3 linked regions of the Oryzias latipes genome follow. The protein of the gene in region 3 purifies or fractionates together with the protein of the main gene of each other region. This does not show direct contact. Links are inferred from orthologs where the notes say so. Each region holds a gene or a part of one and is shown on either strand. Other genes may lie near its edges. The genes, in order: keap1, filamin-A and otud1.

Region 1 (4,206 bases), on a different chromosome or scaffold from region 3:
TTATATGGTAATACTTAGACTGTGACTGAAACCACTCAGTTATGAAAACACAGTTCGGAATTTTTATCTTGTGAATAAAGTTTCATTTATTAGCTGCGGCGGGTGTTTAAAGGATAAGAATTTATCTGCACTTGTAACTTATTTTATGGGAATTCAAGAAAACTTCAGGGCTGTAACTACAATACTTCTTTCTGTCAATCATCACAAACGTTTCCATTTTTCTTGAGATATCTGCGGCTGAAATACAGTCGAAGTGGATGAATGTGACAGTTTTCTATTTTGTGCTGAACTTAATGTAGCGACAAATTTTTCATTACTGAAAAATATGTTTTTTTATAACACTTGTAATGTGAATTGTATTTTGTTACCTTCCTTTTCATTCAAATAATAAAATATTTTCTTAGGCGAACCATCACTCTTTTTGCATTTTGTTGTGTGTGATTTATGTGGTCTGAAAACACATCTGGAGGAGACATTGACTCACATGCATCCCGCTCTTATTGTCTCAGCAAAGCACAGTTTATCAGTGGGTTAACAAAAGACTTGGTTTCATTGCTCTGGTTTTGTTTGTCGTTTGATTCTTTAACAATATCGAAATTTTCCCAGATGCTGATTGCAGGTTTTTGCAATACTCCTGCAGACAGCAGTCAGGCTTTCTTTCCCACACTTGAACACGTGTGCAGAAATAATCTATAAGACGGTTGTTTTTATCTCTGCTGACAAATGAGCTTACTGACATGACTCAACAGAGGCTTGACCTTTGCAGCTGTAACTGTTGGCTTTTACTGCCACCTTGTGATTTCTTTTAAAAACAAGGCTGCTATGTAGGCTACTACCCTATTGACCCGGATTTCACAGTTTGCAGGAGTGAAAAAACTTGGTGTGTCAGCACAAGCCAAAATGTGTTTTGGTCCCATCTGAAGCAAGGCAGATTTTTTTTCTGATAAAAAATAATTGTTAGATAAGATGATTGCGAGAGAGCTGCATCATGTTTTCTTTTAATGTAGATTGGTTCAGAGATTTCTGAGTATGAGTGACATATGTATGTTCTTATTATAAGATTGAATTGTTCTTGTGTAGATGCAATGCTTATTTAAGAGGATAAACATATGAGTAAAGTATAACTGTAATGGTTGTAACAGTTTTGTTAAGCAATAAGTCACAATTTTAACTCAAAGTTAACCTTTTGGCCTGGTTTTCTTTTTTTGTTTTTTTTTAATTCTGAGACTCCTTTCCCAATAAAAGCCTACCACCCCCTGACGCAAACACGACTCATTGCTCGTCAATGGAGGCGGTCCCGACGTTCAGGAAGCATGCTTTTATTGTGAAGGCCAGTTGACTAGTACAATGCTTAGTCACGGTGAGTTACAGCCTCCCCTCCTCCTTCCTATGTGGCGCACAGCTCGGCAGAAAACGTTGGAAATAAGAGAGTACGTGAGTTGCCTTTACTTTACAGTTAAATTTTAAAATGTCCATCAGTACGGTTTTGTCAGTTCGGTTGAACGGAAAGTAGGTTTTTTGGGCGGTAAGACTGAGTACTTACTCTTTGTTAGCATGTTTGTAGCTATCAGTTCTCAGACGTTACTCCACTGTCTATTTTAGGGGCTTATTTTGCTGCTGCCGATAGCGTTACCTCCACCTCGGTGTTTTCTTCCAATCAATGAGACCGCGGAATTTTTTATCTTTTTAGACCTCAGTTTGGTCCACCTTCATCTGTGTTTTTGCTGTTGCATGCCAGCTCTGTGGCAGTTTCAGCCGAAAACAAGCTTGTAGTAAGTGTAGATGATGACCTTAGTCAGTGTGGAGTGAAAGCTAAACTTCGCGTTGTGTGAAAGTTCTTCTAGGAAAGGTGCACGGGATGGAAATCTAATTCCATCCCCGGGCTTACATAAGAACCAGCTCCACTTCTGGGTCGCGTTTTGGTACATTCAGTTCCACTCTTTCTGGCTTGGCGAATAGCTCGCAATGAGTCACCAACGAGGGAAGCTCTCCTCCTCCACCACGAATGCCAACAAAACACGTTGGACGCTCTTTGCTTGTCTTCGGCCTCGCCCCCTCCGCGTTGGCTGTTTCGCACAAAGTTTGGCGACGAATCTAGAAGTGAAAGTCTCTCCAAGTTGTTGTGGTCTCCACAGATTTTCTGCAGCTTTTTTTTAAAGTGACAGCTATTGATTGCAGGCCCGTTTTTTGGAGTTGCACCTTTTGTATGAAAGGTGCTTTATAAATAAAGTTGATTCAAATGGGGGTTCCCAAATTGAGGTGCAGGGGTTTATTGAACTTTTTTGTTACTAAAAATGACAATGCAACACAAACTCTCATTTTTTTGCAATATAAATATCTTGAGAAAAAAGTAAAATGACATAATAATGTTTATGTTATTGAAAATGTTACACTTTTTGAGCTCCTTGCTCATTTGGAAAAAGATTTGAACCAAAACAAAATGCTCTGAACACCAGCTAAATAAATAAGTTTACCCTCTCAGTTCAATACCAAAGAGATGAAATGCCACATTCACCAGACTGATACGCTAGCTGCTTGTTTGTGAGCGATAGCATGTTGAGCAATATGTTCTGGAATGTTCTGTTTTCCTTGTTAGTCACCAGGAGGAAGAAAAGTGCAGTTTCAAATCAGTGTCATAAAGTGTGTTTCGTGTTACTGTAAGTGTCACTGGCTGACTCCACAGCAGCCTTTAAACACATGACTTTTGATAACAAAATAGTCTTTTTCCTACTCTACGAACTGTAAAACACTTGTCTTTTTATCTCGTCCCTCAATACAACCTATGGTGTGTTGGTTATATAAGTAATCGTGTTAGGATTGTTGCTGACGGACTGACTCTTCCTATTCAGAGTTCACCAGTCAAATTGGCCACAGTCTGCTCTTTGTCTTTCATATCCCTGTTGCTTCATGTTCTGTAAAGGAGAAGTTGTGATGACAGTAAACTGGCCTGCATTCACTTTGTTGCACCCTCCACCCCTCTGTCATTTTAACATTATGCAATAGTCGAGTTGTTGTCCTCCCGTGGACCCGTGCCCATTCTGTCCTTGCTGACGTACTTTTGTCCAAACCAGCCTGGAGAGCAATCTCTGCCATGTTTCAGTCATGTTCTTGCCCCACCAAGCCTGAAAAATTCTCATGTTCATGTCTATCTTCATGACATGTAATAATTAAACAAAACAATGGGTTTGATTAACTGAAAATAATTAGTGTTTTCTATGTTCTTCTTACTATCAGCTGGATTGGTCACAGGATAAGAGTAAATACTTGTCAGCTGGATTTATGCCCAATTGAAGGTACTTTAGCAGTGTGTTTTTAAAGTCAAATATGTTGTTTTATTTTATATCTTTAATGTTAGTGTTTTTAGACTTTTGTTGTACACGTCTGTATAAAAAGTATATCTTTACAGTGGCATGTTAAAAGGTTCTTAACTGGGATCATGTGGTGACCACAGAATTTATCTGAGGCTTCCTAACACAAACCTTTTCTCTCCTTCTCCCCTCAGCTGTCGGCTAAATTCCCTGCCTGCTTGAAAGCAGCGGCACAACAAACGATATCCAGCTCTGGAAAATCTTAAGGAAGTTTTTTTTTTTCAAGTATAGACTTCAGTTCTTCCTTCTCCGTTTCAAAGAGCTCTCAGACCCACCAGTGACGCCTTTGGATCTCTTCTTGATTATCAAACAACAAGCAGTCAAACTGTTGGATTCCTACACATTTATCTCAACATTTGTTTTACTTTTAACGGTCATAGTTTAGCTTTGATCCATCTGATGAGTTGGTTCCTTTAGGGAATTTAACTGACCAACATAGATTTAATAAGAGACTTTCAGAGCATGATTTAATTGGCTACTGCCATATATTTCTTTTTATTCCTCCAACAAACAGGCATGTTTAACAGGCTTCTGTCAGTATCATGCAGGTGTGGAAAGACAGAGAGTTTTGTGACAAATGCAGTTGATCTAAAAGAAATCCCTTTGATTCCCGACTCTGTAGTTTAAACTTAATTACAGCAACATCAATCTTTAACTCCCATTCAGCATGCTGGAGGGCCAGTGTATAACGGCGTGCCCAGCTGGAACTGGCATCTCTCAAGCTATTTTCAATGTCATAACTCGCAGCATGACTCAGCTTGAGTGCTAAACAGAGCCAGGACATCTTCATGTGGTCATAAATAAGACTTTTGCAGAGACTAGGAAGGACAACAGAGAC
Region 2 (3,649 bases), on a different chromosome or scaffold from region 3:
AAAACAACAGGTTTTTGGATTTTGGCTAAAAACAGCATAATGAAAGGACCCCTGGGAACTCTTTGAAAATACATCAAATGGTAATCTGAGTGATACTTTAAATTTGGAAATGAAATCAGTTTCACTTTAAAACCAACATTGAATCCGAACGAGTTTTACCTTTCCCCTCCACCCCCGGTCCAAACACGTGGACCCCGCTGGTGTCGACTGCAGGCTCAACACTTAGCTGAGCGGGGAAGTTGGGCACATCCTGGCCACCGTAGCGGATGGTGAGCGTGTAGCAGCCAGGGTACAATGGGATGTACGTGATGGTGTAGGTCCCATCTCCATTGTCCTGAATGTGAACCTCTGCCTCAGTGCCACCATCCGAAATGATCTCGATGGTTAGCTCTGCTGGACCGGCATTGGTGCAGTCCACGACAAACTCCCCCGTCTCTCCAACTCTGCCACGCTCCAAGCCTGGGCCGGAGCAGCGCACCTAAGGGGGTCAGGCAAAAGAGTCACAGCTGAAGTCAACCCAGCAGATTTATGTGCGAACACAGCAGTTCTATAAACTGAGGCCAACCTTGGAGGGGTCCGACGCAGGGTAAGCTGTGGGGGTGAATGGTGATCCAGGGATCGGCACGCCATCGTAGGTCAGTTCGACCTGGTACGGCCCCACTTCCCGGGGAATGAACTTCACCTGGCTGGTCTCTGGGCTTAGCCCCATTTCAACCTGAAACAAAATAAGGACACAGGGAATTAAAATTAAACACTCATGGTCAGGATTACCTGGACCGCAGGTTTTTGGTGCATTTTATCCGTAACCGGATCTCATGATTGGCTTTACACCACCATGAAAAAGTCTGACTGAAGCAAAGACCGACCTTGCTGGCCACGGGCTTCCCAGATGGTCCTGTCACCTTTGCAGCAACCTTTCCCTGACCGCCGGCGCCCTTTGATTTGACAGTCACTTCCTGGTCTTTGCCAACAGTCATCTCTACAATTCAATTACAGTAAATATCGATAAATGATGAAGCACAACCCTAAAGTTAGAACCTATAAATCCAATTTGTGAGATTAACGATCAATAAAAGTGAAGCCCATACTGTCTCCAAGGCCGGTCACATTGATCTTGCTGAGGTCCAGGGAGGGCGCTACAGGAACGCTGAAGGGACTCTTGGGAATGGGATCTTTACCGTAGGTCACACCAACAGTTAGAGGTCCCTGATGGAAATGAAGCAGCGCAAGAACTTAACACAGCAAATGGATAATTATTTTAATGAAACAAGAAATATACAGTTAATAGTGTTTTTTAAAACTATTTTCTGGTCACCGTGGAAACATTTGTTTCTATAAAATCCAAATCTTAAGCTTAGCTTGAAAATCCTCCCTTGTAAAAGATTCAGCAGCTACTAAAGGTTTATTTCCTGATGTTAAATAATCTATACAAAACATTCACAAAACAAATATTTGACTATTTGTCACATATTTAATATGATGGAATGCTTTCCTGAGCTTTGCAGAATGAAACTGTTTTACATTCCAAAACTGAAAAACAATATTGTTGATATTTATATTTTCTTTTATAGACAAGATTATGCATTTTCAGCAATGATAAACTGCATAAACAGGAGTCCTATGTTTGTAAAAAGGGATTAGAATACACAAATGAGATTTATAATGTCCAGTGACTTTAAGCAAAATAAGAAAAAAAGAAAAAAAGAGGAAAAAGTTTACAAAGGGGTTATCAATGCCGTCTATGGAGAATAAATGAGCTACAATAGTACAGTGTTTTTCAACCAGTGTGCCGCGGCACACTAGTGCGCCGTGGGAGATGGTCAAGTGCGCCGTGGGAAATTGCCCTCATTCACTGATCTAAAAACATTTTTCATCTCCAAGAAATCAGCTCTCTGTGTATCCCAACAAGCCCTGATAAAACACTGAGTAGTAAGGAATATAAAAGATCTTAAAATTACTTTTTCTTTGTGTTTATTTAATTCTATTAAAGACATTTTGATAAGAATGACGGTGCCGCGATTTAGCTGCAGCTATAACTGTGTAAGGAAAAGTCCCGCCCCTTTAACTGTCTCCACCAATCATTCTTGAAGGCTTAATCACATGTCATCAGTCTGACCAATCAGAAGTGGTTAAAGTCCTCACTTCCTTGCTCTTAATTCTGCTGATAAAGTCGCTCAGTTCTAACAAAAATACCAGCTAAAGCTCGTCATTAGCTGGTGGTTCATCTCTTAGAAAAAAACAGCCGCAATTTCCTGCTTTTTCTGCCACAATTATCACAAAAATCCACGTGAGATTGCGGGGGGGGGGGAGCTGTCGATCAATACAGACCATGAATTTCTGCTTTTTTTTTTTTTTTGGGATGCTGGTGTGCCGCGGGATTTTTGTCAGGGATAAAGTGTGCCGTGGCTCAAAAAAGGTTGAAAAACACTGCAATAGTAGAAAAATATACCAGAAGTGTTAAATAAAATCCATTTATGCTAAATTTGGTCAGATTTGTTTTGTGGAGTTATAACTGATTAGACATTTTTTCTCCAACCGGATAAATCCAAACCAAATCAGCCATCTTGTAATTTTTTTTTCTTCTTTTTTTTTTTTAACATGCCACCAAGAGTGACTGCAGTCGTTTTATCTCCCTCTTCCAAAGCCTTGAAGCAAAGAGGAATTTGAGTGTTGAAAACTGGCCCAGACATTCTTTCCAAATGTCTTTAAACCTGGGAAACTATGATAATGATTGGCGACCATCAAGTCACTTCGTCTCCATCAGGGCCTATAATCTTTATATTGCTCTTGATGTGATGTTTTAAAATCATCTTATTTTGTTTTTCATCCTTAGCATTGTTCCCCAAATTATTTTTATGTTACAAATAGGACCAACGCAACTTCCCAACTCTCTGCATGTTTAACAACGGCAATTTGTGTCTTCCTGGATCTGGTTTGTTTATAAACAGGAAACAAGTGTGTGCTTTTGCAGCTGATTTTAATCAGTTAATTATCTCCTCACCAAGTCCAATGGACTTCTCAGAGATGAGTGGGGTTTCCAATTGGAAGATTTTTTTTTTCTAAAACAAAAATGCGAATGAGTTTGATCTGCAAATCGGATGCGCCTCTCAGCCTACCTGCTGCACGGGGGTGTATTTGACCGTGTGCGTGTTGTCCCGGTTGTTGATGATTTCAAAGTCTTTAACAGCATCCCTTTTGTTGGGACCGGTGAAGATGCAGTCCACGTTAGCTTTGCCTGCTCCTTTGGTGTTCACAGTGAAGTAGGTGGGTTTGTTCAGTTCCACACCTGAAAGCAGAAATAATGCAGGAAAAAAAAAAGAACATTTACTTTTAAAAATGGCTTAATTTGCCCTAATTTTATGACAGCAAGTGATTTAACTTGAAAAAGCCAAACTACAGAAGAGTTCTGGTAGATTTTAAAGGACTATTGATAAGCAGTTAGAACTGTACTGCGGTTTTTGGTTGTGAAAAATAGAGCGGGTGATTGTGACGCAACTCATAGAAAATGCCTTCCATCTGCCTCAGACTAAATGAATTCAAGTCAGTTGCCATTTTTTCGTGATAAGGATGCCGCCATGTTGGAGTCAGACATCGTCAGTAACCAGTGGTTGGTCCAAGCCTGAGTTTCTATGGCAACCACTCTCGTCAG
Region 3 (4,342 bases):
GTCCTAATTTGTATCAAATAAAAAACATCTGTGTGGTGAGATGTGAGGAGCCTACACTGCCATCTAGTGGATGGAATGGGAACACGGTGAGGTTGTCATCTGCCACAGGGAAACAAAACACATTTTGAATGAATGGTACATTACTTTAATGCAACAAAGAATCTAGGAAAACATGGATAAACAGGGTGACAGTGTAACTGAATACTCTGCAGAAAATTTTGTCTTTAAAACTTTTTTTCCCATTTTAAAGACCTACTCTGATTAAAACAGTTTTTTTAACATGTTCTTTTGCCCTTTTTTGATGATGGGAGCACATTTGTAAAGAAAAACTTAGTTAAAATGGGTATTTCTGAGTATTTCTTTATTCTTTAGAATAAATTTTATTCTTTATTGTTGTAAATCAGGAACACACAAAGAATTCTGTTATAAAGAGAGCGTGTTTGTGATGTAGAAAATATGTTGTCCAATCTGATGGATTCACTTGCAGATTAGGAGATCCACGTATGTCTTCATTTTCTTCATCTGAGCAGGCATATGGCTCAAACTGTAAGGCCGGATAGCTCCAGTATTGCTCGCCATTTTTGTTGCATCGGTAAATAATAGGTTGGGACTGTAAGCTATTGTGAGAGCGTGTAAACAAAGGGATGATGGGAAATGCTGCCACACAACTCAGAGGCAGATTTCTATTGAACTCCTGCCGCTCTGAAGAAACTATGTTACACAAGTTGAGAAAAGACACCAGCTAATCAAGCTAGAACATAACTTTTAACCTTTCAAAGCATCAGAGTGCAGCGTGCATCTCTTATCTCTTCCCACCATGCTGCACTTTAAAGGGAGGGTTTGTATAAGATTAGTGTTGTGCGACTAAAAAGACATGATCATCGATGCTGAATGACAGTTTTATGGAAACAATCAAATAAAACTGTTAAAACAATCTTATAAAATAAAAACATGTTTTTTTCCCCAACAAACTTCATTTAAAATAAAAAGAAAACAATCCAAACATTTGGAATAAATGACAAGAAAGCAGCACAAAATACAACTCTCCCAAACGAGTCTGACAGGACTTTTGTGCAAAAGAGAGCAGCTATAATACAGCTATGTGCCACTTGGAAAAAGACAAACACAAAGAAATGGAAAAATAGTTGACAAGTGCTAATAAAGATGGTCTGCGATGTGCACTGCACTTTTTTTCTGACAAACTTAGAAAACTTACAAAAGAATAATAATTTAAAGCAACCAAGCAGAGTCCACAGCATCCATCAGGAACAGACTGTGGCCTCACACGCAGCCATTCTGCTCTATGTACATCTTCGATAGTGAGGCCGCCATGGACTTTGCCAGCTCCTCGTCTCGTTTCCGCTGCATCTGTGAGCGCCGGCACCAGTCTTCGTACTCTGGGTTGGGAAGACATCGGCCCAGGACCACATCGTAGTGGCCGTTGCTGAGCCAGCTTAACCAGATGGCTGGTTTGGAGGCGTCCTCCTCGCCGAGGTAGTGCACCATGGTGGAGACGGTGGGACTCTCTGAGCTGCCGCCCGTCGTGAGGTGGATGTTGACGTTCAGCATCTGGCTCATGGCGAGGAGCTCCGGGTAGCCGGCCCAGGCTCCGTCCTGCGCCGCATTGATCAGGAACTCTCCCACGTCGCCTTCGATGATGGGGTTGAACTCGTCCAGGTGGTCGGCGATGTGGTGCACCGTCTGCTCCCGCAGCTCGCCGTGCCTGGTCTGGTCCCCGTACGTGGCTTTGCACACAGCTCTGTACAGGCAGTTGCCATCTGGAATGATGTGGTACCTGTATTGGTTCCTCTCCTGGAGGTACTTGTTCTGCTTCTCCACCTCAGCCAGGTACCGGCTGACTTTGTGGTCTCTCTGCTGGGACCCCTGCGGAGGCGACTCCTGCAGGACACTGAGCTTCAGAGTCTGGTTCTGCCCTGATGGTGGTGTACTTTCCATACTGTTCATGTCAAATAGATCCTCTGTTCTGAAGTTCTTCGTCATGGCAACCATTGAGGGGGCCAGTTCCTCTTCATGGAATGACGCCCATCCGTTGCTCCTATAAGGTCCAGAATCCTCCTCCTTACATTCCACTGTGGATTGAGTGGTTTTCTTCCTCTTAAAAGCAGATCCTCCTGGCAGTTCTGTGCAGCCTGCCTCCTCAGTCTGATGGTTTGTCCAGTCCACCATGGTCTCCTGGTCGGGGTCACTGCAGGGCTTGTGGGGGCGGCCTGAGGGGGGTTTGGGCTGTCGGATGATGTGAATGGGAACCGGCCTTTGCACTCCGTCGGGTCGGCGGATTAATATCTCGGCGGTGGAGGTGAAGTAAAGCGGCCTCCTGGTAGAAGCAGCCTCGTAGCACGAAAAGGCGGGCATGTTTCCAGAAGTCTCCGCGGGCGGAGCGGCGTGAGTTGACGAAGTTGTGTCAAGTTGGGCAAAGTCGACCTCGGAGGAAGTTCGCGGCGTCCCGTTCAGGCGCTCGGGGGCTGCAGACAGAGTTATTGTAACTTTCCGCGACGACTTCGGGTAGTGTGTGAGCGCGCTGTTGTACAGCTGCATTTTCCAACGGTCCTTTATACTGAACACCGCCGCCGGGGCAGTTACGAAAAGATGACAACGAGCGCTAAAAATACCCCCGGAGTCATCAACAGCGGGAAACTCGCGGGGAACGTTTCCATGGCCCCGAGTCCTGTTATCGGGGACACGCAACGACGACGACAAGGTCCACTTTAGCTGTGTGGCGTCATCTGCTGTTGGGGTGCCTCCCTAATTTTAGGCTTCACTGTTTGTAACCAAACCCCTTCAGTGTAAAAGCCCGTCAAATCCCGGAGGACAAAATACCAGTTCCGTTTGGGAAACTTCAAAATAAAACCCCTCATCGTCGTTTAATGTTTTTTGGATGTTTTAATTTTATTTGTCTCAGATTATAATCACAAATTATTAATTTGCATTTACTTTTATTATTATTTTTGTAATATATTATGTAGATTGTTTTTATAGCTGTTATTAATTTCATGCTATTTTTGTGAATGATTTTAAACAAATCTTAAGTTAAAGAAATTATAAAAATGTTACAAGAGTTTTCGGGAATAAAAAAAAAATCATTTCTTAACCATCCTATATTGTCCAGACTAACTCGTGTTGTTGAAAATGTTATTAACTGTGTAAGTGGAGAAAAATAAATAACTAAAGACTTGAAAAAAGTTAAGTTCGTATATTTTTTAACCTTCAGATTCTAACATTCCAACTTAACTACTAACCTAGTACTTATAACGTTTTCAATTAAACCCAAAGTTATGGTATATTTGGCTACCTAACACTTAACATCAAAAATCATTTTCATGATTAAAAATCTATAGCTAAAATTCACAATAATGGTGTTTTATAGGTTTGCAAAGTTTTATATGACAAAATAAAAATCTATTTTTAACATTTTAAATAAAACATTAATAAGGGAAAATTGTAATCCCGCAGAACCTCAAGTTAATTTGAAAATGGGTTACAGAAAAAAAGAAAACTATTTTTAAATTAAAAAGCCTTGTTTGTATCTGTCTTTTTGTATCTATCTTTTTTGAGACAAGTTTTACATTTTTTTTGTCATTTGTTTTTATTTTAATTCATGAATTTTTATTATTGATGCCTTATGAATGGAAAAACACAACCTTTTGATACATTAAAAGAAGCAAAATAAAAGTATTTTTTCTTATATCAATAAAAATGTCAATTTTTATCCAAACAAACCTTAAAATACCATGTAAAAGCATAATTTGTTTGTGAGCTGAAAGTATTTGGTGCATGTGAATATGTCCATTGGACATTATTGGCAGACATGTCAATGCTTAGATATGCTCCTGAAGCTTTTTTTAAACACTTACACTGTCAGAGCTTGTGGATTGTGGAACTCAATCTGCGTGCTTGGAATAGACATCCGACTGGCGTCAGTTAAACCCACAGCTGAAAAGTAATCCAATCTTTTCAGGAAGAACATTCTGGAAACATTGGTTACACAACATGGAGAAATTAATTAAATTATTCAACAATATCTGTTGTCATTGAGGGAAAAAAAAGAGAACAAAAATATTAAAATACTGAGCTTATGGTGCCCATTATTTTACCATTAACCCAAAAAAAATATTTTTACATTTTCATTATCATTGTTCCAACAATTACACGTTCGCGTTTTGACCACCAGAGGGAGTCCGACGACATAATGTTTTAATGAAATGTTTTACCATAAACAACCGCTAAGTGGCGACATTTCTCTGTAGTTGTGGAACCGAAAGCTTGTTTGGAACAAACGCCTGCAGAGAGGCACGACGCTCCAGCAGCTGTCGCAAGGTTGTGC

Evidence for each region.
Region 1: the proteins of otud1 (region 3) and keap1 purify together in Homo sapiens (affinity purification with western blotting; 3 studies listed by BioGRID, with this or other methods). This does not show direct contact. The link is inferred for Oryzias latipes from reciprocal best matches to the Homo sapiens genes OTUD1 and KEAP1.
Region 2: the proteins of otud1 (region 3) and filamin-A purify together in Homo sapiens (affinity purification with mass spectrometry; 3 studies listed by BioGRID and IntAct, with this or other methods). This does not show direct contact. The link is inferred for Oryzias latipes from reciprocal best matches to the Homo sapiens genes OTUD1 and FLNA.

Annotation. Positions count from the first base shown.
Region 1 is NC_019859.2:10,400,861-10,405,066, forward strand, and holds the start of keap1 (kelch-like ECH-associated protein 1), read left to right. Parts: upstream 1-1,311; 5' UTR 1,312-1,430; exon of another isoform or gene 1,431-1,434; intron 1,435-1,507; exon of another isoform or gene 1,508-1,525; intron 1,526-3,234; exon of another isoform or gene 3,235-3,293; intron 3,294-3,502; 5' UTR 3,503-4,206. UniProt on the Homo sapiens protein: Substrate-specific adapter of a BCR (BTB-CUL3-RBX1) E3 ubiquitin ligase complex that regulates the response to oxidative stress by targeting NFE2L2/NRF2 for ubiquitination.
Region 2 is NC_019865.2:4,648,986-4,652,634, reverse strand, and holds part of filamin-A, read right to left. Parts: intron 3,287-3,649; coding exon 3,117-3,286; intron 1,207-3,116; coding exon 1,089-1,206; intron 980-1,088; coding exon 867-979; intron 716-866; coding exon 566-715; intron 479-565; coding exon 160-478; intron 1-159. UniProt on the Homo sapiens protein: Promotes orthogonal branching of actin filaments and links actin filaments to membrane glycoproteins. Anchors various transmembrane proteins to the actin cytoskeleton and serves as a scaffold for a wide range of cytoplasmic signaling proteins.
Region 3 is NC_019878.2:19,217,517-19,221,858, forward strand, and holds otud1 (OTU domain-containing protein 1), read right to left. Parts: upstream 2,848-4,342; 5' UTR 2,557-2,847; coding exon 1,282-2,556; 3' UTR 131-1,281; downstream 1-130. UniProt on the Homo sapiens protein: Deubiquitinating enzyme that specifically hydrolyzes 'Lys-63'-linked polyubiquitin to monoubiquitin.